7 linked regions of the Canis lupus familiaris genome follow. The protein of the gene in region 5 purifies or fractionates together with the protein of the main gene of each other region. This does not show direct contact. Links are inferred from orthologs where the notes say so. Each region holds a gene or a part of one and is shown on either strand. Other genes may lie near its edges. The genes, in order: ZC3H4, GPATCH2L, EIF3J, NRP1, CSNK2A2, PIP4K2C and YAF2.

Evidence for each region.
Region 1: the proteins of CSNK2A2 (region 5) and ZC3H4 purify together in Homo sapiens (affinity purification with mass spectrometry; 3 studies listed by BioGRID and IntAct, with this or other methods). This does not show direct contact. The link is inferred for Canis lupus familiaris from reciprocal best matches to the Homo sapiens genes CSNK2A2 and ZC3H4.
Region 2: the proteins of CSNK2A2 (region 5) and GPATCH2L purify together in Homo sapiens (affinity purification with mass spectrometry; 5 studies listed by BioGRID and IntAct, counting the BioPlex papers as one, with this or other methods). This does not show direct contact. The link is inferred for Canis lupus familiaris from reciprocal best matches to the Homo sapiens genes CSNK2A2 and GPATCH2L.
Region 3: the proteins of CSNK2A2 (region 5) and EIF3J purify together in Homo sapiens (affinity purification with mass spectrometry; 5 studies listed by BioGRID and IntAct, counting the BioPlex papers as one, with this or other methods). This does not show direct contact. The link is inferred for Canis lupus familiaris from reciprocal best matches to the Homo sapiens genes CSNK2A2 and EIF3J.
Region 4: the proteins of CSNK2A2 (region 5) and NRP1 purify together in Homo sapiens (affinity purification with mass spectrometry; 5 studies listed by BioGRID and IntAct, counting the BioPlex papers as one, with this or other methods). This does not show direct contact. The link is inferred for Canis lupus familiaris from reciprocal best matches to the Homo sapiens genes CSNK2A2 and NRP1.
Region 6: the proteins of CSNK2A2 (region 5) and PIP4K2C purify together in Homo sapiens (affinity purification with mass spectrometry; 3 studies listed by BioGRID and IntAct, with this or other methods). This does not show direct contact. The link is inferred for Canis lupus familiaris from reciprocal best matches to the Homo sapiens genes CSNK2A2 and PIP4K2C.
Region 7: the proteins of CSNK2A2 (region 5) and YAF2 purify together in Homo sapiens (affinity purification with mass spectrometry; 9 studies listed by BioGRID and IntAct, counting the BioPlex papers as one, with this or other methods). This does not show direct contact. The link is inferred for Canis lupus familiaris from reciprocal best matches to the Homo sapiens genes CSNK2A2 and YAF2.

The regions. Positions count from the first base shown.
Region 1 is NC_049222.1:109,582,074-109,586,038, reverse strand, and holds part of ZC3H4 (zinc finger CCCH domain-containing protein 4), read right to left. Parts: intron 3,370-3,965; coding exon 3,218-3,369; intron 2,332-3,217; coding exon 2,235-2,331; intron 2,131-2,234; coding exon 1,991-2,130; intron 1,390-1,990; coding exon 1,282-1,389; intron 1-1,281. UniProt on the Homo sapiens protein: RNA-binding protein that suppresses transcription of long non-coding RNAs (lncRNAs). LncRNAs are defined as transcripts more than 200 nucleotides that are not translated into protein.
Region 2 is NC_049229.1:49,439,846-49,443,810, reverse strand, and holds part of GPATCH2L (G patch domain-containing protein 2-like), read right to left. Parts: intron 3,681-3,965; coding exon 3,601-3,680; intron 718-3,600; coding exon 659-717; intron 1-658.
Region 3 is NC_049251.1:11,491,878-11,496,364, reverse strand, and holds the start of EIF3J (eukaryotic translation initiation factor 3 subunit J), read right to left. Parts: upstream 2,938-4,487; 5' UTR 2,822-2,937; coding exon 2,776-2,821; intron 2,690-2,775; coding exon 2,586-2,689; intron 1-2,585. UniProt on the Homo sapiens protein: Component of the eukaryotic translation initiation factor 3 (eIF-3) complex, which is required for several steps in the initiation of protein synthesis.
Region 4 is NC_049223.1:3,641,417-3,645,823, reverse strand, and holds the start of NRP1 (neuropilin-1), read right to left. Parts: upstream 3,031-4,407; 5' UTR 2,515-3,030; coding exon 2,436-2,514; intron 1-2,435. UniProt on the Homo sapiens protein: Cell-surface receptor involved in the development of the cardiovascular system, in angiogenesis, in the formation of certain neuronal circuits and in organogenesis outside the nervous system. Mediates the chemorepulsant activity of semaphorins.
Region 5 is NC_049223.1:57,697,692-57,701,656, reverse strand, and holds part of CSNK2A2 (casein kinase II subunit alpha'), read right to left. Parts: intron 3,848-3,965; coding exon 3,764-3,847; intron 2,966-3,763; coding exon 2,855-2,965; intron 2,614-2,854; coding exon 2,512-2,613; intron 1,769-2,511; coding exon 1,668-1,768; intron 654-1,667; coding exon 505-653; intron 1-504.
Region 6 is NC_049231.1:2,029,828-2,033,792, forward strand, and holds part of PIP4K2C (phosphatidylinositol 5-phosphate 4-kinase type-2 gamma), read left to right. Parts: intron 1-1,180; coding exon 1,181-1,327; intron 1,328-1,510; coding exon 1,511-1,549; intron 1,550-2,134; coding exon 2,135-2,248; intron 2,249-2,602; coding exon 2,603-2,870; intron 2,871-3,056; coding exon 3,057-3,160; intron 3,161-3,354; coding exon 3,355-3,435; 3' UTR 3,436-3,965. UniProt on the Homo sapiens protein: Phosphatidylinositol 5-phosphate 4-kinase with low enzymatic activity. May be a GTP sensor, has higher GTP-dependent kinase activity than ATP-dependent kinase activity. PIP4Ks negatively regulate insulin signaling through a catalytic-independent mechanism.
Region 7 is NC_049248.1:34,870,460-34,874,987, reverse strand, and holds the start of YAF2 (YY1-associated factor 2), read left to right. Parts: upstream 1-1,354; 5' UTR 1,355-1,487; coding exon 1,488-1,513; intron 1,514-1,904; coding exon 1,905-2,030; intron 2,031-4,528. UniProt on the Homo sapiens protein: Binds to MYC and inhibits MYC-mediated transactivation. Also binds to MYCN and enhances MYCN-dependent transcriptional activation. Increases calpain 2-mediated proteolysis of YY1 in vitro.

The sequences.
Region 1 (3,965 bases), on a different chromosome or scaffold from region 5:
ACTCCACTGCCCCTCACCCTCAATGCTCCTTTATCACTCTCTCCCTCTCCCTCTTCTTACCTGCATGCTGTTTTTCAAGACTGGCTGCATGGAGGCCAGTATCCAGCCCCATGCTTCTTCCTTCCTAACCTAACCTCCGTTTTGTTTGGGAAGAATGTGCCCCCAGCTGAAAAAGTACATTCCCCAGCCTCTCTGGAAGTCCTGGTCAATGAAATGTAGGCCAAAGTCCCCAGGGAGGACAATGCTGACTCAAAACAAACACCCCTTCACCCATCTTTCCTCTTAGCCCGTAGACGGGAGGATACCCAGAGGCTCAGCGGCCACTATGGAACCATGAGGACAAAAGCCACATGCTCAAAGATGGTGGACATTCCTGAAGTGGAAGGAGTCTCCCCAGAGTACCAGTGACCAGGGTACCAACCTCCTTCAGAGGGACGACGTCTGAACATTTACACTATTGGAGCTCAATTTTAACATCATCCACAGTCAGACACACTCAGAACACACACCCGAGTGAACAAAATAGAGAAACCGTTCGGGATAGCTATCTCCCCTTACTCTCATGAATGGCTACTTATCTTTCTACGGATTTATTATAAGCTTCTGAAAAGAACATAAGTTGAGATTGTATAAGGAATATTTTACACACACACACACACACACACACATATATTGGTCTGAAATATTTATTTTTCTCTAAAGCCTATACTGGGGTACAATATTCCCTGAGCACATGTGCACCAGTATCTGTCCACTGCCATCGTATTTGAATAAGAAGGTGGCTGGCTGAACTCATACAGGGTTATGCCCTCAGAACTCTATGGTCATTAGCTTATCTTCTGGTACTGAATGCTGCTGTGCAATTCAAGGCTGGCCTGATTCACTCCACCTCCTCCTCTATCTGGAAATCTTAATAATTCCCTCTCCGACATCATTAAAGATCAATAACTCAACCAGGACATATTACATCTTTATATCGGTATCAATCTTAATACGTTTGAGGCCATTTGGACTGGCTGAAAATTCTGGCCCCCAAACCAAGAAAAACAAAACACCAAAAAACAAGCCACAAATGTGTTATCACACTCTGGCTCCTCAGTCTCTCTGAGAAGACAAGAGAACAGAGTCTTCCCAAGCATTTCTTGGTAGTCAGTCAATCCCACCCTTACCAGGCCATGGCCCCCAATTAGCATAGCCTGTAGAACGTTCCCAGAAGCCTGAGCATCCTCTGGGAGGTTGCTGCCCTGCTCCCACGCCCAGGTACTTTAACTGGCCCCTTACCCACGTACACCGCCCCTCCACGAAGTATTTGCAGATGACTTTGCCTTTCTTGTCAGACTGCTGGTGGGGCTTGTCATGGTCACTCCTCCGGTAGCTCCCACCACCATCCTATTAGGAACACAGTGTGTGAGCATAAAGGGCAAGGAGAAGGAGGGGTTGGGGAGGGGGTGATGGAGACTGGCAGACAGGTTCTGAGGGACTGTAACAGAAGGTGGCCACTGAGGATGAACATTCCCTCGACAGAAGAATCTTCACGTAGCAAGAGTAGTGGCCAGCACGTTACCACCAGCACCAAGGCCACGTGGGGTCTTAGCCCCATGGTATGGAGTGCTGGCGCTCACACAGGAAAAGCTCTGGCACATGGAGTTGCTGGCAACTGAAGAGTACCACATAACCATACAGAACACATTCTCCTCCTAAAGGCAATATGCGCGTCTTCTGTCAAACTCTCCAGGCTACCTGGATGAGTCACCTGGAACCTTCCCCACCTCATAGACTCAGGTGCTATAGAGATGTGGTTTCAAAAACAGAGGGTCTCACCAGCAGCCCAGCCCCCCACCCCCAGAGATGTTTAGTGCTCAACGGCCCCACAGAGAACAGCTAATGAAAGCTGGACAGCATTGGCTAGAGGCCAACTCATTTGAGAAAAAAAAATCCAGGAAGGAGGCCTTGGCCAAACCTATCAAATCCAAATGAAGAGTCAACTCACGCCCATGTCCTCGTCATAGAAGTCTTCATCATCGTTCATTCCGCCCTTGTTCATCCCTCCTCGGCTGCCACCTCGACCACGACCCCGGCCCATCCCTTTCCCTCGACCTCGGGAACCCCGACCACGGCCTCGACTTAACCCTGCAGAGAAATGGCATTCACCTGCTGTTTCTCCCCAGGATCCAAACCCAGCAGCTGCCCAAAGGAGCCCCACCGACCCGTCACCTCCAGGGCCCTCTGCCCACCTCGTCCTCGGCCATCCTTGGACCGGCGGTACTGGTTCAGCTCCTTGGAGTATTCGTCATAATCCTCATCTCCCATTGGTTCCTCACTTTCTCCATACTGGGATTCCAGAAAAGAGGAGAAAAGGCGAGTGTCACGTGGGGAACGATGAACACTGTCCCTAACTGTACTTTCTGCCCCTGTCTTTTTGTTTATGCAGGTCAACATGAGACTCAGAAGGGCCAGTGAACAACTCAGGGTGACCTGCCTGTGCCCTCTCTTCACAGACCACAGCCAAAACTGGGAGGGGGAGGGGGAGGTGGGGGGTGGTTCTAATCCTCTCCCTCAAGCTCTTCACTCCTACAACTCCCAATTCCGGGGGCAAATCCAACAGGGAGCCTCCTACACAATGGACAGCTGTGTGGTTGTAACAAAGAGCAGACTCACTGCATACTGGCATAGAAAGGTCTTGGGCGGGGACAGAGCAATCAATGTGGAAGCTGTGTGTGTGTGCAGGGGGGCATGAATAAATAAGCACCTGACTGTAAAGACCTAAAACTTCTTTTTTAGGATTTTATTTATTTGAGAGAGAAGAGAGGGATAAATAGGCTCCCCCGCTGAGCAGGGAGACCAAAATAGGGCTTGGTCCCAGGATCTCAAGACCATGACTTGAGTTGAAGGCAGATGCTTAACCAACTGAGCCACCCAGGTGCCCCTAGGCCTAAAACTTTTTCTAGGAGACACTCAGGAAACTTGTCTTTGGAGATGGGAATGAAGTTGCTGGGGGTAGAAGGGGAGGGAGATGTTTTCACAGCTTTGGCACTTTTTCAATTTTGAACTGCATGAAGGTTTCCTCTATTTCAAAATAAGAAATGAATGTTGAGACACAGCCCTGCTGTCCAACACCCTCCCTTCCACTGTGGTCTGTATAGGCAGCTCCCAAAAAGTGCCCATCAACCTCCCATGTTCCCTGCCGCCACTCCTCCGGGGCTGGAGAAGAGCTTACTTCCATTTCTTCCTCATAGAAGTCTTCTTCATCCTCGGGGTGGTCTCCCACGGAGCCTCTGCCCCTTCCGCGGCTGCCTCTGCCCATGCCTCGGCCTCGAGACCCTCCACGACTGCCTCGACCCCGGTAGCCTCTGCCACGGCCTCGGCTGCCTGCAGGGTAATTCAGACGGTAAGTGCCCCGAGTGGGAGATCTCATCAGCAAGAGAGACGTGAGCCCATTTTCTGTCCCTGATGTCAGTCATGTCCTCTTCCTCCTCCTCAAGCCTTCTTAGCAGCTCCAGGTAGCTTGTCCCATCGCCCCTACATGCCCTCGCTAGTGGTCCTCAGGGGATCCCTGGATGGCGCAGCGGTTTGGTGCCTGCCTTTGGCCCAGGGCGCGATCCTGGAGACCCGGGATCGAGTCCCACGTCGGGCTCCCGGTGCATGGAGCCCGCTTCTCCCTCTGCCTGTGTCTCTGCCTGTGTCTCTGCCTCTCTCTCTCTGTGTGACTATCATAAATAAATTAAAAAAAAAAAAAAAAAAAAAAAAAAACTAGTGGTCCTCAGGCCTCAGCATTCTGGATGCTCACTGGCTATACTGCCACAGGGGCACCTGGCCACTGTAGGTGCACTCAAATGTCCAATACAGGGACTACTAGCCACACATGGCTATGGAGTCCCCGGAACATGACCAGACTAAGAGATGCTGGAGGATGAACCACCACTGGATTTACAGGACTCAGATTAAAAAAAAAAGTTAGAGAATAT
Region 2 (3,965 bases), on a different chromosome or scaffold from region 5:
ATACATACACACAATGGAATACTATTCAGTCATTAAAAAAAGGAAGGAAATCTTGCCATTTGTGACAACATGGATGAACCCTGAGGGTTTAGGTTAAATGAATAAATCAGAGAGAGAAGACAGATACTGTATGATATCATTTATATGTGGGATCTAAAAACAAATGAAAGAATAAAACAAAACAAAACACATAGGAAATGGATTGGTAGTTATCAGAGTGGAAGGGGGTTGAGGGGTGGTTGAAAGGGCTCCATTTCAAGCTGATGGATGGTACTTAGATTTATGGTGATGATCACTTTGAGGTGGATAAAAATACTGAAAATTACAATGCTGTACACCTGAAACTTATGTAATGTTATATGCCAAATTCACCTCAATATAAATATATAAGTAGTGACATCCTAATTGGAGGCTACTTTTAAAATGCAATCACCTGTACATATAAACAGCAAAGAAATAAAAACTAGTCTAGAAAGGAAAAAAAGAATCTCTCTCATGAGTTTAGTGTGTTAGCCATGTTAACTGTTGTGAAGTACAAATCTGTAAGATTTTCTCAATCAGCTCTAAAGTCAGATTTCTACGTTCGTTCATAAAACTTCCCTCTGCTTCCTACTCTAAGGAATGGGCTAGGATAATGCATAAATATATAAGCACTTACTCCTTCTGCCGAGGGTCACTAATGATGTGGCCTATCCTCTCAGTACTTATGCTGGTCTCCTGCAATGGCAAGAAGACAAGCATGTCATCTAACCACAGAAACAAACAAAGTATGATCTGTCATCAAGTTCACACTTTCCCAAAACTGCCAGCAACCTCAAAGGCACATGTCAAATGTCAATCTTAAAACCCAACAGCAAGTTTATTTCTTTTTATGGGAATCTATTTTAAAAGGTTATTCTAGACTTTTCTCCAGTGTTCCAAAAAAAGTCATTACAAACCTTGTTTACTATATTATATAGCATTTTAATACAGTGAGTTATTAAAGTATATAGTAGAAAAAACAACTTTTAAAAATCCAACAACAGCTGATTTTTAACAGGCTGCACACCAAACTCCCTCAGATCATATGATTACAGCCCCAAAAACCATCATGATGGGAAATTTACCCAGTCCTCACTGGTAACACCTAAAATCTGCTAACTAAATGTACACATATTAAAGGAATTTTGTAACTTAAAAAAAACTGTTACCCTATCTTGTCTGTTAAGCATCATCTCTTAGAGTAAAACAGATGTTTGTACAAATTGGTCCTTAAATTTAGGGTTCTTAAGACTATAATATGAAATCTTACCCGTAACACCACAAGCAAATCAGAAACTAATCACCTCCAAAAAAATTAAAAACTGGCACAAGGCACTCACCCTTCATTTAACTTGAGTACATTTACAATGAATGCCTATGACTGTACCTGGGGAAGTGCGCTGATAGTACATGAATAAGAGTTATACACATATGAGTTAAGTGATAAGATGAGAGAGGATAAGTCATGGGCGTGAATGTCAAGCCTGTTACATTTGTTACTGGGCAAACATTATGATCGGTATTCATTTATGTGTGCGGATTAGCCTAAAATATTAGGGTTACACATTTTAGCAGAACTGACTCTAGAAAAATTGATGCGAGGTCAGATTCTGGGCGGGAGTGGAGCTAAATGAAAAGGCTTCACATACTGTATTCTTCACATTCTTCATCCCTTACACACATACCTCCTGGTCACAGACATAGCCATAGTAGTGGGGCCAAGGGAAAGGATGGGTGAAAAATGAGCTATTTGTTACTGCAGAAAATTATTAACTTAAAGTGCCGTAATGTTTAAATTTACAGTTTATTACTGTGTAAATTACAAGCAGTACTTTGCGTAATTAGCAGCTCGCTGGCAGAGAGCTGTGAATGAAACTCATTATTTATGATTACAATTTAGAAAAAGAGCAGAGAGGTGGGGGAGGGGGAAGTAGGGGGGCAGAACATTGACCTCTGCTAGAAATGACAAATATCCCTTTAAGGTGATGAAGATGAATTAAACAAGTAAATATTATCCTATTCATTTGAAATTCTTAGAGGCACATCCAATAGGCCCTAGAGTTTCCTTTCAGGCAAGCTAAAGGAAGCCTTCAAGATGAACTGATTTACTTCTCTGGAAATGGAAGGCTCTTATAGGAGCTGAAACAAAGTAAGGTAGATAGTAGGTAAAACATTATCTTTCAAGCCTAACTAATACACAGAAAAAATAAAACCATCTCTCTGCTTCCTACTCCCAACCTCCTGCCTCCCTCCACCTCATGTACTCCTACCCTATTAGCTGTCCTATTAACTAAGAATAAGCTCCCAGAACAGCAAAAGGAGCATTTTCTTGTCTGAGAAATCAGTGAGCCAAAAGAAGAAGATATCGTTCTTCCAATAATCAAATGTTTTTCTAATTAAGAGATTTGAAATTGAATTTAAAGATTAAAAATATCTCCGTTCACCTGGAAATAAACAGTTCTCTATTTCAACTACAGAACAGTAGCTCCCTGAGGGTAGCCAGGCTGTGGCTGTGATCACTTGTACCTAGCCTGGCACAGAGCCTGACACTTGGTAGGCATTCTAAATATTTATGCAGTGAACGAATTAATGTTCTGAGATGCCTCTCACTCCCTTGCCTTTTGCTCACCACCATTTTCTCTAACTAGGTATGAGCCCCAGGCTCAACTTACCTTCAATCTCAAAGCTAGAGTAAAAGTTAATTAAAATAATTTTTAGGAGTACCTGGGTGGGTCAGTCAGTTAAATGTCTGCCTTCAGCTCAGGTCATGATCCCAGGGTACTAAGACTGAGCCCTGCGTGGGGCTCCCTGATCAGTGGGGAGCCTGCTTATCCCTCTCCTTCTACCCCTCCCCCCACTCATGCTCTCTCTCACTCTCTCTCAAATAAATAATAATCTTTTTCTAAAAATAATTTTTAAAATTTAAATTAGAAAAGATAAAAGTACAACTGAGTTCAATTCTCTCTTCTGCTACTTCCATTTACATAGCTTCTTTGAACCCAAGTTTTCCTCATCTGCTAAGTGGAAACATCAACTCTTCTACAAGGTTGTTGGAAGGATTAAATGAACTGGGTGTAAAGCAGAGCCGCTGGGCAAAGGCAGAACTGCGTAAGTGGTAGAAATTCCTCCCTCATGGCCAAGGAGAAGCTGTGAAATCTGAGGTTTTCTTTCCAGTTTTGTTTTTTTTTTTAACGAATTCTAGAATCAAAGTTAGGACAGAAGAAGCATTCATGAATTCAGGAGGAGTTATAAAGAAGCCAAGAGTATTTTAACTTCTACAATAATGTTATAAGATTAATCAAAAGAGTAGAAGAGACAAGATCAGGCCTGTAGATTTATAGACAAACTGTCATAACAGTGTTTGCTTTGTCAAAACTTCTGTATGAGTTAAGCTTCATCTTTTATGTGTGTACCATTTATATCCTATATAAGGTTCATTCTTATGAACTTGAAAAATATTTCAGTTGGCTTCATTTACTCCAGGGGAGTTCTGCAGCACCTTTGATTATCAAGGTACACAAATCCCAAAGGGAAAATACTGTCTTCCCAGTGAGCCCAGTAGACAGTGAGAGCAGTTACCTTCCCAGCAAGCCTTCTTCGGCCCTTTCTGAGGCATCGAGCTGCAGCTCCAGGCAGACGATTCAAGCGGGCATGGTACCCTAAAAAAAAAGAAAGTCCTCAGAAACAGAATGCAGAAGACTCCTTAGTGATGATATGCCTCTAGTATACCAAAGGCCTTCCTCCCCAGGATCTTACTAGACTGACCCTTAAGCTAGTATCACTAGTCTATTTGCCAAGGATTTATTATTATCATGCCTTGCAGTATGATCATAGGTGTGTCTTTACCTCTGACCTAGGCATCCTCACCTACAAAGGTGGGATAATCACTTGCTCAGTCCTATCTTACATAGCTGATCTGAAGACTCGATGAAGTAGCACAGGAA
Region 3 (4,487 bases), on a different chromosome or scaffold from region 5:
GTAAGAGTATTAACACTGGGATGCCTGGGTGGCTCAACGGTTAAGCATCTGCCTTCAGCTCAGGGCATGATCCCGGAGTCCCGGGATCAAGTCCCACATTGGGCTCCCTGCATGGAACCTGCTTCTCCCTCTACCTATGTCTCTGCCTCTCTGTGTGTGTGTGTGTCTCTCTCATGAATAATAAAATCTTTAAAAAAAAAAAAAAAGAGAGAGAGAGAGTATTAACATTAACTGAGTGCCTCAGAAGTGCTAAGCAACTCTGCTTAATGCTAGACATTTAATCATTTAAGGTGCAAAATAGGGGTGCCTGGGTGGCTCAGTTGGTGTTGGACTCGATTTTGGCTCAGATCATAATCTCAGGGTTGTGAGATCAAGCCCTGTGCCTCAGACTCCACAATGGGTGTGGAACCTGCTTAAGATTCTCTCTGTCCGGGATGCCTGGGTGGCTCAGCGGTTGAGTGCCTGCCTTCAGCTCAGGGCGTGATCCTGGAGTCCTGGGATCGAGTCCCACATTGGGCTCCCTGCATGGAGCCTGTTTTTTCTCTGCCTGTGTCTCTGCCTCTCTCTGTCTCTGTGTCTCTCATGAATAAATAAATAAAATATTAAAAAAAAAAAAAGATTCTCCCTCTCCGTACCCTAAGTAAATAAAATGTAAAACAACCCCCCGAAGTTATCTCCTATAATGAAAACTTAGACTGGGAAACTAAAAGGAAAGATTAAAAAACTTGTTTGTGACCACAAATAGAGAAAATGTCAAGGCAATATAATGCACACCCATGTCTGTCTGATTCCAAACCTAAGAATCAAACTACTCCATGAATACCATAACCTGGGAATCTTGAAGAAATTCAAAAGAAACCAACATTTCAACTCAGAAATAAAATGGACAAGTTGAGTTTTTCTCCAAGATCAACTTCAATGTTTATGTAAAAGAAATAAGATATTTGAATAAAAGAAAAGAATCTGCACTGAAAGAGTGACTGGAGAAGATGACCTTTATGGTCTCTTAGCACCTGTAAATCTCAAACTTAGTTACTTCATTTTCTGGTACTTCTTTCCTGATTTATCCCATCTTTTCTTCTCATTTGCTAAATCATTCCCAATTTTCAGAACAGATGTCCTAACTGCTGCATCCAGTAAGCATACAAAAAGTCAAAGGACAAATCTGAACTGAAGGCTCAAAACAGAAAGTCCAAGACAATTCAGGGAAGTAACTAATACCTTGCAATGAGACTGATACACAATCCATTCCCATATATATACAACATGTAAATACAGCATTTAAGTATCTTCACAAGAGTACTACTCATTTATTAATCTCAATGTATGCAAAGCTCACATTCTCCCTGAACCTCAAGCTGTTCCATAAACTGGAACATAAATCTATCTCATTATAATGACTCTGAGGAGAAAAAGGTAAAATCCAAACAAAAGTAGTATTAAGCTCATAGTGATTGTCTAGCTTAAATTTTTTCAACCCGAGCAGGACTGAACAGGGTTCCCAACATGTATTGAAGGGTAGAAATTAGGAAAGTGAAAAACATACACTAATTGAATCAAAACCAAAAGAAACTTTTTTCTCAATTCATACAAAACTTTATCTGCACCAATATATAAAGATTTTGAGAGTTCTGTTAATAAGAATCTTAACATTCTGGGGTTGAGAGGTGTTAGCTACTTAAAAACAAATACACTAGTCATACTGTCATCTGAAGCCATTTGATAAGTCCCCAGGAGTTTTCAAAAACAAAATGTACATCTGGTTTAGATCAACAAAGCACAGGGGAAAAACACCGGCCCCTCGTCTATTCCAACCAGTATTTCCTTAGGAATCATTTGTATGTAGATAAATAACTCTATCAACTGTCCATTTCCAGGTCGCTGGGTGGACTACCTAGGTTTCTGGCCAGTAACTCCTGGTTATCTCAGTACTCGGTTCATCTCTTTACCACAGGGCGGGGGAGGGAAGCCTAAAGTTATTTCACTTTACTGCTTCTATTGGTCTTGTGTTTAAAAAAAAAAAAAGACTGAAATTAAACCACAGTATTTCATTCATCTAACTGCTCAAACACACTCTACAAATGGGCCTTTGGAAACATAAATGAGTTACTGCCCCGGGAAGATCTGAGCTCAAAAAGGCAGGTGGGTTGCAAGACTTTCCATATGGGATACACCGTGGGGCTCAACCCCCGACTTCCCGGATCCTTCCGGCGAGCGGCTCCAGACCGCGAAGTTTGCACGTGGGCCGGGCCCTGCTGCTGCTGTCACCTCCCGTCGCCAGTTGGCGGATGGGCTCCGGGCCGGGGCGCAGACCCTTAAGAGGGGCCGGGGCCGGGGCCGGGGCCGCCACCGCCCTCTGCGAGGAAGTCCAAAAGGCCACGCTGCTAGACTTCGGCCCATATGGCTGGCGAGCCGAGGAGAGAAGGGCAGCGGGAAGCCCGACGCTGGCGTCTGGACCCGCAGCCCCGCAGGCCCGGGCGGCGCCCCTGGGCCCAGAGTCCACCCGCCCGCCTGTCGACGGGCATCCCCGCCCGCGACAGCGCCAGTCCGCTCCCGCGCCGCCGGGAGCCCCGGCCCGCACCCACCTTGACGTCCTCGTCCTCGTCCTCGCCTTCCCAGCGGTCCCCGCCGGCGGTGCCGCCGCCCCCCACCTTCCGCACCGGGTCTTCCACGGAGAACGTGTCCGCGTCTACGGAAGAGAGCGAGCCGCGTTAGCGCCTGCTTCGGCTTGAGGCCAGCGCCGGCCCAGGCCCTGCCCCCGCAACTTCTCCTCACCCCAGGAATCAGAGTCCCCCGCCGCCGCCGCCGCCGCCGCCGCCATCTCGAACCGGGCGTGAGCGTGTGTGAGGGCAGAGCTAGCGAGGAGTTAGCGCGGCGGAGGTGAGTCACTGGCTTTGCTCTCGTTGGCCGGCGCGGGGCAGGCTGGGACCGTGGCTGACTGTGCGCCGGGGCCCAGGCCCCGCCCTCTCTGGAGGAGGTGGCGGGGCGACGCGCGCGCGGGCGGAGAGGGGCGTGGAAGGCGGCGGCGGGCGCTGGCGGCGGCGGGAGGGTGAGCCCGAGGGGGAGAGGGTGGTGTCGGAGGCAGTGGCGCGGGAGGAGAGGAAGCGGCCCGGAGACGGTGCCCCCGGCCGGGCCCCGGGGAGGAAACAGTGCGAGGAATTAGGAGGGCGGCCCCTTGCCTGGCGCTTGGCCCCCGCCGGCCCTCGCGGGTCCTCCCCTGCCAACTCCAGCCCCTCCGCGTGTTCCTTTCGGTCGCGGGCGGTGAACGCCACGCCCGCCCGTGGGGGCGGTGGGCCGGCGGCCGCGACCCGACCCTCGCAGCGGGCGCCGCACCGCGCCCCGGCGGAGAGCACGTCTCTGGAAGCCAGCGCGGCCCGGCGCCGGGGAGGAGCGAGTGCACGGGGCCGCGCTCCGGGCCGCCTTCCCGGCCTGGGTGCTCGAATTCAGCTCCGGGCACGTTTGCTTCTAGGTAGTCACGAAGGGATCGAAGAGGGCCCCAGAACTCGAGGATTGTCCCTGCTTGGGAGCCCCTTGAAGCCAGCACACGATTCTTTGGCAGAGTAATTTCGGAACCTGGCCTGCGCCAGGCCTAACCTCTAGCCTTGTCCTCAACGAGCGCACGATCGAGTAGCAAAGACAGACATGTAAACAAAATTTCGACACAGTGTGATGACTGCAACGACAACAACAACAAAAGCATTATGAGGTTAAATGTAAAAAGGTAACTTGAACGGCTGCCCGGCACGGGTAGCGGGAGGATGCTTGAAAGGCTTCCCGGGGGATCCCTGGGTGGCGCAGCGGTTTGGCGCCTGCCTTTGGCCCAGGTGCGCGATCCTGGAGACCCGGGATCGAATCCCACGTCGGGCTCCCGGTGCACGGAGCCTGCTTCTCCCTCTGCCTATGTCTCTGCCTCTCTCTTTCTCTCTGTGACTATCATAAAAAAAAAAAAAAAAAAAAAAAAAGAAAGGCTTCCCGGGGCAACTACCACGGAATCCGGAATTTGAAAGACCGAGTGAAATGTGTTTCAGTACCTTTCCGGTGGAAGGAATGCTCCGGTCCTCGACCCGACTGGCACAGTCGGAGATAAGCTGAAAAGGGAGACTAATCAAAATAAAGGGTTTCAGCTGGGCTGCTCTCTGCCCTTTGGGCCCCTGGGCTCCACTGCAGGGTATTAAGAGGGGAACAGTTCCAGATATTTTGGCTTTCCTTTTGTTAAATTAATTTATGTCTGAATGTGTAATATATCTACATGATATAAAATTCAAGTTATTAAAGAGCATATACAATAACCAGCCTTTCGATTCTTTCTAGGAACAGCCGTTCCTTGTTTCTTACTATCCTTTCAGGAAGTCTACAAATACACAATTTTTTAAAGTTTATTTATTTTTTTAATTTTTATTAATTTATTTATGATAGTCACAGAGAGAGAGAGAGGCAGAGACACAGGCAAAGGGAGAAGCAGGCTCCATGCACCGGGAGCCCGACAT
Region 4 (4,407 bases), about 54 Mb from region 5:
ATTTGGTGCATGAACTATGTAAGAGGAATAGGTATGAAAGCAGTGAAATATATAAGCCTATCAATCACAAATTTTCAGTAATGGTATATATAGATTTTAATATTGCATCTAATAGATTCCCTGTGGAAAGAGAATGGCATTCTTTGCTCTCAGCATGAATTTATAAATCTACAGAATTTTATTACAGGAAAACCAGGTCAAATGGAAATGAAAGATGAAGTGCACATCAAAAATGCATAAAGCTACATGCATTACAGAAATCATTTCCCATAAATTAAAAAGAAGACAATATAAATCATATTGTTTTTCTCAATTGCTGGATGTTTCTGACCATGTTTCCTAGACTGGGGGTACCCTTATGCTTGGTTTCCTTTGCCTGGGCTTTTAAAAGCTTAAGGTTTTGCCAAGAAGAAATGTTGCAACTGGAGTTTGGAATCTCAACTAACGATCATACTGGACTCTGTTACGTGATTCCACTGAGGCTCTTCCATTATTTTAAATGTGCAGAAAACTTGGAAAGTGACCCCATCTCATTAAGTCTCCTCCAGCTCTATACAAACATCATGGCAGTGTCTGGCATCCGTTAGAGGAGTGAAATAAAACAGCACTGCTTCCAGTCACTCCACAGAGTCACTTCAGAAGACATTTAGGTGGACTTGGTACCACACCAGAGCTCTTTAATCTGTGACTTCTGAGAAAGTGACAGTGTAATAAGATAATGTGGACTGCTAGACTCCCTGGCTCTGTTAAATCTCTCTAACAGTTGATTAAGAAAGAGCAATTTCTAATGACTCTGGACCATTAGACCTAAATAAGGTTAATGAATTAATTTAGCAGACACTGGTACTGCAAGGAGGTGGACATGGCTTTAAGAGGTCTGCTGTGTTACAGAGGCATTTACTGGCTCTGGTCACTGCAAGCAGAGCAACATGGTTTTAACCAGTCAAGCTCACAGACTGAGGCTCAGGTTCTCAGCATTTTCCAGATTTCTGCTAAGAAAATTTAAAAATGTATTTCATATATATTCACGCACGTTTGTATACATTCATATACACACACATATGTATGTGAAGTTCACTACCTACAGTCTGGAAGCTATTTGCATTAGGTTTCAAATCTATCTTGTGTACATCTCTACTACGGATTTAATCTCTGCAGTTGTAGAGGGCAGAGGCTGGGTTACTATAACTTCTAAAGCCTAACCACTTGACCTCTTTCAATTGGAGGAGAATGTTATTTCATCCCTTGCCAGATCGTACCGAGATGCCACCAACTCAGGTTCATTAATAAATTGAAGTCCACATTCACAGTTGTGTGTGTGTGTGTGTGTGTGTGTGTGCGTGTGTGTGAATGTGTATGTGCACGCGCGCGCTGCCTCCTAAGCGTATCTGTTGGAACACTGCTTGGTAGCTGTTAGGGGAAATCTATTGCTTCAGTCACCAAACCTCCAAAAAGCATATTATAGAGATTAACTTCCATCATAAAGGCATGATTTAAATTCCTCTTGGTATGAACCCCTCCACTTGTGGTCTCTTATTAAAACAATATACCACAGTAAGTAGTGGGTGTTCTTTTCTCCTAATTACTTTGATTGAAATCTAAGCCAGACAAAAGTAAATATTTGATAATTAGTTAATAATTGCTGAAGACTTACTGTTAAGATAATTTCCTACCCTTGCCTTCACCCACTTTAAAGTGTAAGTTAAACATGCCTACAAGCAGATCACGCTTTAAAATACATTATTTAGGTTAAGGGATACTGTTTATAACCTGGTAGCCTCGAGTGGTTTTAAAAGCTAAGTGGAAGCTGCTAGGTTAGGGATTTTCAGAAATCCCGGTGTCTTACACTGTATATATCAGATTCCTTTATTGACAGTGTGTAACTTTCATTCATACTTCAGGCAGATTAGGGGCGATTTGCAAAGGCGAGGGAGGGAGTTCCCACAATCAAAAACCCGCCGTCGGCCGCAGCACCCAGCAGAGGAAGCGGTGTCGAAGAGCTGCAAAAGAACCAGGAAGTTCTCCCGGTAAAGCGTTCATTAACTTTCCGCAGCCATCAAATTTTTGAGAGGGAGTCTCATCTAATTGCCTTTGGGAGGAAACATTATTGAGATAATTGGTGGTGCTGATCTGGGAAGGCAGGCAGCTCTGCCTTGGAACCGAGGCAGGGGAAGCCCCGTCACCAGGCCACCAAGTCCAGGAGCGAGGCGGCGGCCTCGGCGTCCGCCTGCCCCGCCGACGGGTCTGGTCTCTCTGTTCCTCTCCCCGGACGACGGTTTCCCGGGCCCGGACGGCGGCGGCCGGCGGGCAGCGCGGGGGCCGGAGCCCGCAGCCCCGCCGGGAGCCCGGGAGCCCGGGAGCCCGGGAGCCCGGGAGCCCGGGAGCCCGGGAGCCCGGGCGCGGCGCCCGCACGCGCGCCTCCGCCCGTCACTTACCGTTGCGGAAAGCGCCGGCCAGGGCGACGGCCACGGCCACGGCCAGCGCGGCGCTCAGCAGCGGCGGCCCCCGCTCCATGCTCCCTCCGCCGGGCCCGGGCACGCACCCGGGCAGAGGACGCGCGGGCAAGTAGCGCAGGGGCCGATGCACACGCTCCGCCGGCCGCAGCTCCGCCTCGAGCCGCGAAATCCTCGGTCCGGCTCGGAGAGAAGGGAGCAGCGAGGCAGTGCCTGGATCCGAGAGAAACGCTTCTCTTTTTGTGTCTCAAGTCGCCTGCATCCTGTCATTTAGCTCCGGTTTCCTCTCTCTTTTCCCACACTTGTTCCTCTTCCAGGAGCCACTGCCCGGGCCATGTCTCAAAAAAAAAGGGGGGGGGGCCCGACGGGGGAGGAGAAGGGAGGTGGGGAAACACACCAAAGCCAATTTCCAGAAAGGAAAAAAAAAAAAAAAAAAAAAGCTTGTTTCTGGACCGGTTGGAGCCGAGGAGCTGGCGCCCAGGGGAGGTCCGGGGTGTCTGCGCGAAGGAGAGGAGCGAGCAACGGAAAGATGAGCGGGAGACAGGACTTTCAGCAACTGCACCCCCGCCTGCGCCTCCGCCCCCCCCCCCGCCTCCCCCGCCCCTCCTGGAGCCCTTCCCTCGCTTCCGCCCTCCCCTCTGCCTCACGGGCTCGCCAATAACTGCCTGACAGGAGACTGGGAGGAACAAGTTTCCCTCCGTGTGCTTTTCCCGTCCTTCTGTCCGTCTCTCCCGGAGGCCCTGAAGGATCCCCGCGGGGAGGGGGCGTTGGGAGCCTGCGCCCGGGGCGCGTGTGTGTGCGCGTGTGTGTGCGCGCGTGTGTGTGTGTGTGCGCGGGGCGGGGGGGGGGGGCGTCGAGGTCCGCGCCAGCCGCCGGGTCGGGCGAGCCTCCCGCCGCCCGCCTGCTCGCTCCGGGCCCCGCGGGGAGAGCCGCAGCTCGCCGGGGGTGTCTCTCCGGGATCCCGCCCCGGAGGCGGCCGCTGCTTCTCGCGACTCCCAGCCCTGCCGGCCGCGGCGAGGAGCGGGGTCGGCCCGGGCCAGAGAGCGGCAGGCGCCCCCGACGCTCGGGGCAGGGCCGGGGAGACCCGGGGGAGCCGGGCTGGAGCGGGAGGCGCCGCGCGGGGCCGGCCAAGGGCCGACGCTGTCGCTGTCGCTGTCGCTGTCGCTGTCGCTGCCGCGTCGAGCCCACCGGGCCACTCGCTCCGGCGCCGGCGCCGCTGGGCTGCGGCCGCGCTCGGCCCCCCGGCTCCGCTGCTGGGCGCGCGGCCGGCCGCCAGTCGTGCTCGGGTGCCCGGCGCCCTGCGGGGGCCCCATTGTTAACCCAGATGAGGCGCCCGCCCCTCTGGGACGGAGGAGCGCCCGAGGGCCGTGGGGTGCGCCCTCCCGCTGGGGGGCGGCCGTCGCCCCGCCCCGCCCAGCCTCGTTCTCCACCGAGCCCAGGTGCTGGGGGAGGGGGGCTTGCGATCAGGGGTCCGGGCGCCCCTCTGCGGTGCTCCTCGGGGCGGGGGCACAGTGCGAGGCAGAGGCCCTCGGCAGGGCTCACTCGGCGCGCGCCCCGGGCCAGGCGGCCGTCACGCCGGGCACCCGGCGCCTACCCCCACCCCCCGCCCGCGCGGCCGCACCGTGGGCCGCGGGACCCCAGCCCCCCCGCCCAGGGCTTTCCGGGAACCGCTGCGGGAGGCCTCCGTGGATAGGGATAGCAGACACGCATCCGGGGACAAACCGGTTTCGGCCACAGGTCTGGCCCTTGAGGCGGCACGTCCCGTAGCGGCCCCCCTCGAGGAGTTTGTGGGGAAGGTGAAAAGGTCACTGCACCTGGGAACCGGCGTGTGTGCACACAGCCTGAAACACAGCCTTCTTCCCACCTGGCGCAAAGAGCTGGCAAGACACTTAGGACTGTCGGCGAGGAGGCTCTGGCCCAGGGTTTTGGCGGCAGAACCAGGGGCTGGACGCGG
Region 5 (3,965 bases):
CATACACACTCTGAAGTGAGACCTAAAAATTCTTTAACTCAGATAGGATTTTAGTGAGGTCCTTCCATAGCTGCTTTCCTTTCTTCAGATTCCTTTTACTGAATTTAACTCATTTCCTTCTTTAAAAATATACTATGGTCATCTTATTACTTTTAACCAACTACTTTGTTTTTTTCACGGGAAAAAAACATGTTTGATTAGGTTTCCACACAGATATATCCGAAAACAAAGTTCAGATATTTGTGATCTCTCAGCCCAGGGCCACAGGGAACGGTCTGCAGACCAGACTCAAGGGGAGCTATGGCAGTGGACAAGCAAACACCTCTGCAGATCAAGAAAAGGAACTGCAAGAGCTGTCTCAATAGTCCAGAATGAATGAGGCCAAATTCCAAGGATGATTCAATCCAAACACCTAGAATTCTCCTGACTGGCCTCAAAGATAAAGAACAGGAGACTTATTCCTTTAATAAATCAGGCCCCTGCAAATGGTCCCTGGAGACTCACAGAAGTAGGGATGCTCCATGGCCTCTTTGGCGGTCAGTCTCTGTTGATGGTCGTATCGCAGAAGTTTGTCCAGAAGATCTAGGGCCTCAGGGCTGACGAGGTGTCTGTTCTCACTGTGGATAAAGTTTTCCCAGCGTTTCCGTGAATGTCTGAGGAGGAAAGGGAAGCACTGGTACTGAGATTCAATTCAACAAGAATCCAGACATTACCATGGTTAAAGCCAATAGAATCTTAGAACCCCAGGAGGATTATAAACTTATTAAATCTCATTCTCACAGGTGTCTGCCCCACCCTCCACGGGAATATCTGAGGCATCTTGAAACAAAAAACATGCTCTCTGATAAAATGAACTAAAGCTTCTACATCTGATTTAGAATTTGTGGCACCTTCCTAGATCATTTCTTATGGATCAGGCTTTTAGTCAATTCTGGTGAGGCACAGAGGTGACAGAGTTATTTTTGTTGTGCAGCAAAAATATTTAGAGAGCTAGCCTTGGAAACAGAGGCTCCACAAAACACTGAGAACTGTCAACGCATTTACTTTTCAACACTAGTACACTGTACCTGCAAATATGCTTTAAAATTTGCCACGTTGGGGGGATCCCTGGGTGGCTCAGCGGTTTGGTGCCTGCCTTTGGCCCAGGGCGCGATCCTGGAGTCCCGGGATCGAGTCCCACGTCAGGCTCCTGGCATGGAGCCTGCCTGCTTTTCTCCCTCTGCCTGTGTCTCTGCCTCTCTCTCTCTCTCTATGTCTATCATGAATAAATAAATAAGATCTTAAAAAAAAATAAAATTTGCCACCTTGTAGAAAACCCGTTAACTAGAACAAGAAAAAACTATAAATCTCTTCCTCAAAGAAGAATCACAGCTTTCTAAGATTTTCCATTAAAATAAGCATACACTGTCCTGCAAAGCATTTCACTGTAACAGGATTTTGTCTCCTATTTTCTATGGACTGACAGGTTATCTCTTGGAGAAGTACAACGATCAGAAGACACATGTAAACAATGCCCAAACCTCAAAACAAGTTTTAAAAAGCATACATGAGAAAAAAGAAGGGTATTTTCAACTTTGCTATGATTAGCAAGTGATTTCGGCGAATATTCCCTCTTCTGAAATGGGTTTAGTTAAAACCCTCGTTCTCTCTCCCTCTCTCTTACTTACTGTCCCAGGATATCGTTGAAGTGCGGATCTAGGTCTATGTGATACTTCTTCAGATACCCATACAGCTCATCTGTACCCAGAACCTTGGCAATGCGAACAAGCTGAAACACAAAACAAACTGACCAAATTACTGAGCACAGAGCTCACCGCAAGCCTGTGAGGATGCTATCCCAAGAAATGAGAGGACTTCTCCATCACTGAATCTCCAGGGACCAGAGGCAGATTGGAGCCCGGGGCTGACAGGAGGTAGACCAAAGGCCAATGATGTTCACAGAAAGCAAATTTCCAAACTCCCTTTAAAATGGTAATAACTGGGATCCCTGGGTGGCGCAGCGGTTTGGCGCCTGCCTTTGGCCCAGGGCGCGATCCTGGAGACCGGGGATCGAATCCCACATCAGGCTCCCAGTGCATGGAGCCTGCTTCTCCCTCTGCCTATGTCTCTGCCTCTCTCTCTCTCTCTGTGTGACCATCATAAATAAATAAAAAAAAAAAAAATTAAAAACAAAACAAAAATAAAATGGTAATAACTTAAGACAATAATCTTCCAGAAGCTGACAATTACGGGGGCATCACAATCTAATCTAGAAGCTAGTTGTTAGACAAGGTGTGTCTGACTTCTTCACAGACTCACTGTGGGGCATACGTGGAGCTTAGTAAGATAGCTTTATCTGGCTCTATGTTTGGGGACCTAGTAACCACAGACAAAATCTCATGAAGCTCTTTACCCTGAAGGAGAACTTAAGTGCAGACACTGAGTGACTCAAGGATAGCATCCCTGTCAACAGACTCCCATTTCTTTGGCATGTGCCCCCACATGGGGAAGAGCCAGTTAGTGTTTGCTCACCTGGTCATAGTTGTCCTGTCCGTGAAAGAAGGGCTCCTTTCGAAAGATCATGCTTGCTAACATACAGCCCAAACTCCACATGTCCAAGCTGTAATCGTACATCTGGGGAAACAAGGTCAGCCTGTTAGTGAAAGGTGTTGCAAATGTATTTCTTTGATCTGGATTTCTAGTCTTCAGTTGACCTTTGCACATATTTTAGAATTCAAAGAAAAAAAAAAAAGTCACTGAGAAAAATCTGAAATGACTGCTTCAGGCTGGGGTTTTGAATGTATCCAAACTGACTTAATAAACAGCACACGAGGAGAAGCCCTAAGGAAACACACAAAGGAGGCGTGAGTTGTACCTGATAGTCCACAAGGAGCTCCGGTCCCTTGAAGTACCTCGATGCTACACGGACATTGTACTCCTGAGCAGGGTGGTAGAACTCTGCCAGACCCCAGTCTATGAGCCGCAGCTACAAACACAACAGAAATCAAACCCGTAAAGGAGTGTTTCTAGACACCTGTGCCTTAGAAAAAGGCCACATCACGTTAGCTGACAATATGTGCGCTACATAACAAATGTTAGCCAGTGCACTGGCAAAAATTACCCTTTCAGCAACTGTGGAAGAGGTCACCTCTACAGTAGAGCTTTCAGAATCTTATTTGTTGTTGTTTTTTTTTTTTAATTTAAATTATCCTGGCTTATCATTCTCTTCCCATCAATCAAGCTTAAGCTTTTTACTCTGCCTCTGTTTTACTTGCATATAACACATTCCCCCATTATTAACAGCTCCCATCATAAGCTCAAGCCACAACACAAAGGGTTGGAGACCCAGGCCCCACCCCAGGATTGAAGCATTGCTCCAGCTTTTCATTAATCACACAGTAGTGGAATCACTTACTCACCAATCAGAGACAACCAGAATTGGATATGAAAAACAGGAGGGACCCAAGTGTAAAGGCTAGGCAGACTGGTCTAAGGGTCATTAAAAGAAGTACAAACCATCTGCTGGAGTTTCTTTGCGAGGCCCTCTGGAAAACCATGACCAAAATAAACAAGGGACTACAGTTAGGCTCACGGGTCTACTTTCCTTGTGTACCATGCTCATGCAGAGCAGAAAGCAACACTGGAGACCGGAGAAATAACAATAACACAAGTCTGCCAAAGAAAACAGTACTGGTCTGCAGTCCCTCCTAGGTCAATACCTAGAGTTGTGGTCTGCCCTAGACCTTTTAAGAAAAGCCTTGTTGCTGCCTGGCTGCAACGGTACCTTTTTCTGTTGGTGATCTATCATGACATTGTGAGGTTTCACATCCCTGTGCATGATTCCCTTGCTGTGGCAGTAATCCAGAGCCTATTAGATAAGAAAGCACAGAGAAAAGTAAGCACACTGTCTACCAACCTCCCAACGCAAGCATATTATTTGTGACAGCTTCACGTGAATACAATCTCCCAAGGGGCAGCTTACTGCT
Region 6 (3,965 bases), on a different chromosome or scaffold from region 5:
CTTTGGCTCGGGTTGTAATCCTGGGGTCCTGGGATCGAGTCCTGCAGTGGGCTCCCCACGACAAGCCTGCTTCCCCCTCTACCTATGTCTCTGCCCCTCTCTCTCCCTCATGAATAAATGAATAAAATCTTTTTTAAAAAAATAGAGAGAGGGACACCTGGGTGGCTCAGTGGTTGAATGTCTGTATTTGACTCAGGGCCTGATCCTAGAGTCCTGGGATTGAGTCCCGCATCGGGCTTCCTGCATGGAGCCTGCTTCTCCTTGCCTGTGTCTCTGCCTCTCTGTGTGTCTTTCATAAATAAATAAAATCTTAAAAAAAAAAAAAAATAGGGAGTCTAGTGGCTCTTGGGTGACTCAGTTGATTGAGCATCCGACTCTTGATTTTGGCTCAGGTCATGGTCTCTGTCTTGAGATTGAGCTGGGCTCCATGCTCAGCAGGGAGTCTACTTGCCCCTCTCCCTCTGCCCCCTACCTGTGCACGCGTGCATGCTCTCTCACTCTCTCTCTCTCTCTCTCATAAATCTTTAGGGGATCCCTGGGTAGTGCAGCGGTTTGGCGCCTGCCTTTGGCCCAGGGCGTGATCCTGGAGACCCGGGATCGAATCCCACGTTGGGCTCCCGGAGCATGGAGCCTGCTTCTCCCTCTGCCTGTGTTTCTGCCTCTCTCTCTCTGTGTGTGTGACTATCATAAATAAATAAAAATTAAAAAAAATAAATAAAAGCTTTAATATAAAGAGACATTATACAAATGGAATAAATCAGGAGATGGGGATTCAGAAACTTCATGGATACCACAGATGCCTTTAACAAGTCTCCACCACTTTTTTTTTTTAAGATTTTATTTATTTATTTGAGAGAGAGCATTCATGCAGGGGTACGCCTGGGGGTGGGGGTGGGGCAAGGCAGAGGAAGAGGAAGAGAGAAAGAATCCCAGCTGGGCTCCATGCTCTGCAGGGCTCAATCCCACAACCTTGAGATCATGACCTAAGTGGAAACCAAGAATCAGATGCTCAACTGACTGAGCCACCCAGGCGCTCCCCACTCACACTTTTGACCTTGTAATCTCTCTACTTGAAGTTGTCTGCCCTACTCTGGAATGGTGGTGTTTGAATTCCCATCCCTGGGCTGGTTGTGCATTTACTCCTCAGCTTCTCCCCATTCCTTCCTCCCTTCTACCCCAGTACATTGTGAAGTGCCATGGCAACACACTGCTGCCCCAGTTCCTGGGGATGTATCGAGTTAGCGTGGACAATGAAGACAGCTACGTGCTTGTGATGCGCAACATGTTTAGCCACCGTCTTCCTGTGCACAGGAAGTATGACCTCAAGGTAAGGAGAGGCTAGCTGAGGGAGAGGCTCCTGATAGCCTGAGAGTGGGGAAGGGCCTGGGAGGGCACTGAGATGGTTCATTTCAAAGGAAAGAAGACTGTGGGTGTGAATATTCCTCTTAGGAGCTGGATCCTAACTTCTTTTAGCCACTTCTGCTGACTTGGTCTTTGGGTCTCTCCACAGGGCTCCCTAGTGTCCCGAGAAGCCAGCGATAAGGAAAAGGTGATACTAATTTTAGGTGACAGGGTGAGGGATGAGGGAGGGCAGATAAAGGGATCTCCTTAGGATAGAGGTAGGGATCACCAGCTATTTCGTCTTATCTTAAACCACCAAAAAGAAGAGAGGTGTAAACTTGTGCTGATGCTGGGATTAAGTGTTTGGAATGGGCAGCAGGAGCAGCTGCTTTCTCACTGGCATGGGTTAGGCCATGTGGAAGGTGTGGCTATGGATAAAGACAAACTTTGAGAGCGAAATGCTTACTCTCTACCCCCCGCTCTGGGTTCTTGTATTCAGGTGGCTATTTTCTGCTTAAGAAGAATGAAAGGCGGTATGTGAGGTCTTGACTGGAAACCATAAGCAGACGGTAGTGGGATGTGATTTGGGGTACCGCTGCAGTGACTGAGTTTGGAGAAGCCACAAGAGCGGAGAACGGCCTCTGGGCAGCATGGCAGTGTGCAGTTAGAGGAGCTGTGAGATCTCTCTCCCCTCAAGGCCACTGAGTTACAGAGAGCCCTAGGAAGAGAGCATGGTTCTCTGAGACCTTGAGGGAAGGGCTGTATTCCCAAGATTCCCCTTACCTATTTTCAGGTTAAAGAATTGCCCACCCTTAAGGATATGGATTTTCTCAACAAGAACCAGAAGGTTTATATTGGTGAAGAGGAGAAGAAAGTATTTCTAGAGAAGCTAAAGAGAGATGTGGAGGTGATGATCGGGGTGCTTTGGGAAATGGCTGTTTCCTGTTGCTCCCCCCCGGGGCAGCTGTCTCTCCCGTTCCCTTTATTCTTTGGGTTTTCTGCATGTAGGGGAGTTGGGTATGGGACATAAAAAACCCTTAGAGGTGACCCATGGAGGGGATGGCTAGAATTGACTAAAAGGATGACCTCAGGTACCAGGACATTGATGTACTAAAGGGCAGTGGTATACTCCCAACCCTTGATTTTCATCCTTCCTTTCCCCAGGAGGGCCCCTGAAGCTCAGAGGGGAGGTATAAGGGTGGTGTGGTGCTGGGAGCAGGGAAGGAGATCTGAGGTATCTGATTTGTCAGTGGGGTCTCAGTTCCTAGTGCAGCTGAAGATCATGGACTACAGCCTTCTGCTGGGCATCCACGACATCGTTCGGGGCTCTGACCCAGAGGAGGAGGGACCTGTGCGGGAGGAGGAGTCAGAGGGGGATGGAGACTGTGACCTGACAGGGCCACCTGCTCTGGTGGGCTCCTATGGCACCTCCCCTGAGGGTATTGGCGGCTACATCCATTCTCACCGGCCCCTGGGCCCTGGAGAATTTGAGTCCCTCATTGACGTCTATGCCATCCGGAGTGCTGAGGGTGAGAGAAATCCTGGAAATATTAAGGGTGTTGGTGGTGGGGAGGGTTGGCCTTGGGGGAGTGAGGGGACTGAGACCAGCCAGGGTGGTGGGAGAGAGGCCAGTTAGCTTTTCAAAACAGATCTGACTGGTTCTTGGGAAGAGGGAATTGGGACTATACTTGCTCTTCCTCGCTTTCTTTCCCCAGGGGCCCCCCAGAAGGAGGTGTATTTCATGGGCCTCATTGACATCCTGACACAGTATGATGCCAAGAAGAAAGCAGCTCACGCAGCCAAAACTGTCAAGCACGGGGTGAGGGCTCCCCAAATCCTTTCCTATCTTTTGACTGGGAACAGAGGGAGCCTTTTGTACGGGAGCAATGGGGTGGCAAAAGGACGAAGGGCTGGGAAGGGCTGGGTGCGGAAGTGGTGTGGGGAGGACTGGAGGCTGCGGAGTGGGATGGGGTGGTGGGGTGCCTGACGCTGTGTTCCTACCTCCTCTCGCAGGCTGGGGCAGAGATCTCCACTGTCCATCCTGAGCAGTATGCTAAGCGGTTCCTGGATTTTATTACCAACATTTTTGCCTAAGAGACTACCAGACTCCGTGCTGCTTTATGTTCAAGGTGGCAGGGTTCCGAGAGGCTTGGGGAGCTGTGGATATGTTGACCACTACTACTTCTCTTCCTCTTTTGTTAAATTCCAGCTACAGGCTCCTTCTACCCACACAACTCCATCTTGTTGACTAGGCTTTTCCTGACCCTCAGAAATACACTGTCCTGTCCCCCCCTCCCCACCCGCCCACTTTTCTTCCATTTCTCCCTCCCTTCCAGCAATTCTGCTTGCTTCATTAGAGTGTTACTGTTGACTCACTCCCAAGTGCCTTGATCTTTGTAAATGTCCTGTTGTTTCTAGAACATAGGAGGAGATGGGGGAAGGGGATTACTTGCCATCTTCAGGAACTGACTGGACGGATGGACCTGGCTCAAGCAACTACTCTGGATGCATTTTGCTGTGTGGGATGAACTAAGAATGTCTGAATTTTGCTGATAACTTTATAGAACTCACTGTGGCATGCCTCCTTCCCGGTAGACCCTGGGATGGAGGACTTTTAAGATACT
Region 7 (4,528 bases), on a different chromosome or scaffold from region 5:
CAGCGGAGGAACCGGGAAAGTCGGCTGAAAACCCGGGACTCCTGACTTCACTAGTCCCTTTATAGTACATTCAGATTCTTTCAGTTATTAGGGTTACTATTGCACAGAATTCGGACTCGCTGTGAACCGAGAGAGATGGGTAGAGACAGTACAAACGGAGAGAAGAGGGAAATATGCAGAAGGAAGCCACACACCTAGGCGAAGGAAGAGTTTTGGGGACTCAATACAAGAGTTTCATCCGCTGTCTTCGCCAGGAGGCAGCTTTTCTGATGGGGGGTGGGTGGGAGGAGGGAGTCGGATAGGGAGAGGGAGGTAGGGAGAAAGTGGAAATTCTTGAATGCCAGGCTCTGGAGTCTGAGAGCCTTTAGCGAACTGCTAGATCGGATGGTGGCCTAACGTCGTCTGCATTTTATTTTCAATCTGGTTGCAGATTACCTAATAGATTGAGGAAGTAGAGCTGGAGCTTCGCGGGGCCAGGTCGACGCATCCGGTATGTGGAGGCAACGAGGCTCGGGAGAGACGTGTTCCTTTCTCAGTCAGCAGCCTCCAGGGAATATGTAAACTCGTTATTTAAAAAAAAAAAAAAAAAAAAAAAGAGAGAGGGAGAGAGAAAGAAAAAGGGTTTATGAGTTTTTTTTTTAAAGCCATTGTAAATAGTGGTGGGGGGGGGGGCAAAAGGATGCATTTGGAATTAAAACCAAGGTTAAAGTCCTGCCTTTGTCATCTTCTCATTATATAATAATACGGGGGAGGTCACCTCACCTCTCTCGGGCCTCGGTTTCGTTTCCTCTAATTTAAGGGCGACGATACCTTCTGGGCAGAGATTCGCGTGCAGAGAAATTGGGATCTCAAGTCCCCGCCCTCCCCCCCCTTAAGGCCCGCGCTCGGGCTGGTTCCCGCCTTCCCCCAGGTGAGCCCCCGGGCGGGGCCGGGCGCGCGGCCCTACCTGAGGAGGCGGCCGGGCTGTCCTCCCGAGCGGGGCGGCCGTCGTCCCGCGGGCTGGCGGGGCGGCGGCGGCAGCACAGCAGCAGCAGCAGCGGCGGCGGCTCCACCTCCTCCTCTTCCTCCTCCTCCGGGAGCCGCCGCCAGCTCGGGCCGTGAGGGGTCACGCGGCGGCCCCGGCGGGGAGGCTGCGGCGGCGGCCGCCCCCGCCGACCGGCCGCGGGCGCTGGGCCGCGCTGGCCGCGTTTGAAGTCTCCGGCGCCGCCGCTGATTGGCCGGCGCGGGTCACGTGCGCCCAGGCAGGAGTTTCCCCGACAGCTGGAGGCTGCGTGGGCTCCGGCGGCGGCGGCGGCGGCGGCGGCGGCGGCGGCTCCCGAGCTCGGCGCTGCGGCCTTCCCCGCCCCCTCCTCCCTCCCTCCTCCTCCTCCTCCTCCTCCTCCTCCTCCTCCTCCCCCGCCCGCTTCCGCCCCGGCTTATTATCCTCCTTATTGACAAACAGAGCGGCGGCGGCGGCGGCGAGCTCGGCGTGCGTCGGTAGCCAAGCCATGGGAGACAAGAAGAGCCCCACCAGGTAACGGGGCCCGGGCGGTGCGCAGGCGGCGGGGCCCGAGCGCCGGGCTTCCCCGGCTCGCTCGCCGCCCGGGCTGCGGGGCCACACCGGGGGCGGCGCCGCTGCCGCTGCCGCTGCCGCTGCCGCGTGTGAGGGGCCGGCGCCGGCCGCCCCACAATGGAGCCGCGATGGCGGCGGCCGCGGGTGTCAGAGCGGCGGCGACTGCGGCCGCGCCCTCCCCCTCGCTGGCTTCCCTCGGGCTCGGGGAGGCGCGGGGCGCGGGGGCCGCGGGGGGCCGCGGGGGGCCGCGGGGTCGCGGGCCTGGGGCGGGCGGGGGCGGGGCGGGGCGCGAGCGCCGGGCGCGGCCTGCCGGTGACCCCGCGCCGCGTCGTGTCCGGGTTGTGTCCTGCAGGCCGAAGCGGCAGCCGAAGCCGTCCTCGGATGAGGGCTACTGGGACTGTAGCGTCTGCACCTTCCGGAACAGCGCCGAGGCCTTCAAGTGCATGATGTGCGATGTGCGGAAGGGCACCTCCACCCGGTGAGTCGCGGGCCTGCCCGGCGCGCCGTCGCCGCCCCCGCCCCTGCGGAGGCCGCCCCTCCCGTGACACCGCAGCCCCGGCGGGAGCGAGGTGGCGGCCGCGACAGGAACTGGGTCACGTTGATCGCGCCCCGAGCCGCGGTTTGCGGCGAGCGGTAATTGAAGAGGCCGGAACGTTACTTTGCTGCCAAGAGAGAATAAATTATTTAAGGCGAGGCATTAGCTCCTGCGATGTAATTCGTATCGCTGGGTGTGATGCCCCCCCCCCCCCCGCCGGCCTCCCATTCCGGGTATAATAATGTTGGCTGCATTGTTGTGTTAGTGTGTAGGAATCAAAGAGAGAGAGAGAAAAAAAAAAAACAAATACCATGAAACACTCTGGAGAAAGCAAAAGGTAGAATTTAATTTCGTTCTTCCAAAAAAAAAAAAAAAAGAAAGAAAAGAAAGAAAAAGTATTTGATTCTAGGAATCAAAGGGGGAAAAAAAAAACCAACCATGAAACACTGGAGAAAGCAAAAGGTAGAATTTAATTTCGTTCTTCAAAAAAAAAAAAAAAAAAAAAAAAAGAAAAAGTATTTGATTCTAGGAATCAAAGGGGGAAAAAAAAAAAAACCAACCATGAGACACTCTGGAGAAAGCAAAAGGTAGAATTTAATTTCGTTCTTCCAAAAAAAAAGAAAAGAAAGAAAAAGTATTTGATTCTAGGAATCAAAGGGGGAAAAAAAAAAAAACCAACCATGAGACACTCTGGAGAAAGCAAAAGGTAGAATTTAATTTCGTTCTTCCAAAAGCAAAGAAAGAAAAAGTATTTGATTCTAGAATACACAATAGGTTGAACTTCCTGTATTTTATATATAGATGTCTGGAACGGTTAGATCAACGTTTCGGTTAGTATTTTTAACCTTATTCTCTAAGATTTTATAAATAGTTGGAGGTGAGCCCGGTCACAGGGACACATTTTTTTTGTTTTTTTACTGAAAGTATCTTGAGTATTTTTAGTTTGATGAAATGGCAATCTATTAGGCTATACAAATGAGATGAAATGATCTCTGCCTATTTTCAGTTTTTATTTTATTGTAGGCCTACAGTATAATAGCTCAGTCTTTAAAAAAACAAACCACTTAGTGGATTAAGTGGATAAAGAAAATCATACAGGAAATTCAAAGTCTGACGTTCTTGATCTGCCAACGCTTCGTTACAGAGTTCCTTCCACTTTATAGGAAAGTAGCCTTGGAATTTATTGTAAGCATGGGATTTATAGCTAATATTTAGATATCATGTGCCTTGATATTAAAAAATAGTCTGTTAGAAACTCAAGGGTATAGGTATACTGATGTGATAGACTGTTGCTTTAAAAAAGGCCTATTTGGTATTGACATTAGATTTATATATTCGGTAGAAGTTAGAATCCTAAAAACGAGATAACCAGGTTTTAAAACACCATTTACAACAATTTATGACTTTTTTTTTTAAAGATAGAGGCAGAATGGTTGGAAATAAATTTTAAGATTTGCTTAGTTAGAAGCTAGCTGCATTTCACATACTTGTCTTTTCATGGATCCTAATATGCTTTTTACATATTAAATCTCATTTACATTGGATAAAATATGTAGAGCATTTTTCATGATATCCTTTAAGAAGCAAACTTTAAAATGTCTAAATTCAAGAAATAGAATAGACCATTAAAAAAAAAAAAAAGCACCTATTTGCTAAAGTGAACATGGCAACAATTTTTGGACCCGTGCTTTAAGTATTTTGAAAAGTAGAATATCTTTATTTTTTTATATAAGGTTGGATTTGGTTTAGAATATATTTGTATATCTATGTTAGTACGTTGTGCTTCTTAAAACACTCAAGCAATTTTCAGAAAATGTGGTTTTTCCAGGCAGGGACTTTTAAAGTGGAGACAATTATTTTATAATCTTAATCTCTGGTACGATGTTGTTGCTTTTTGTTGTTCCCTCTCTATTTTCTTGTAGCCATTAGAAAAAATACTGAAACTAGAAGAGCCTATATGTTTATTTGCAGGGACAGCAAGGAAGGGGGGAAGCTGTTGTCCTACTCCACAGCCAGTCTTGGGGTTAGAGGAACCCTGAGAAAATAGAGTAGGTGGTGGCAGCTCAGAAGAGAAGAAACAGGCTGAATACCTGGCACCTGGAAGAAGAAGGAATATAGTGCACAGGGGAGTTGGCCCCGGACAGAGAAGTGGGCCTAGTGTAAAAGAGGCTTCAGGCCCATATGGGGGCCCCTGATATTTTTTTACCAGTACATCTGAGCTCTTGTAGATCCAGTTTTTTTAGTGGTGGAAACATTACTTGAGGAGGACTCAGAGAAGCATTGTCATTTGGATTGAAACTGAAGAGGCTCTGGGCAACTCACCAGAAGTCTAAGGGACACTCTGTTCCTAAAAGTAAGTGTTCTACACTACGACCCTCTCAGCTTCTTCCTTCCTCTCTCTGAATTGTCTCTTCTCTTTTGATTTTGGCCCTAAGTTAAAC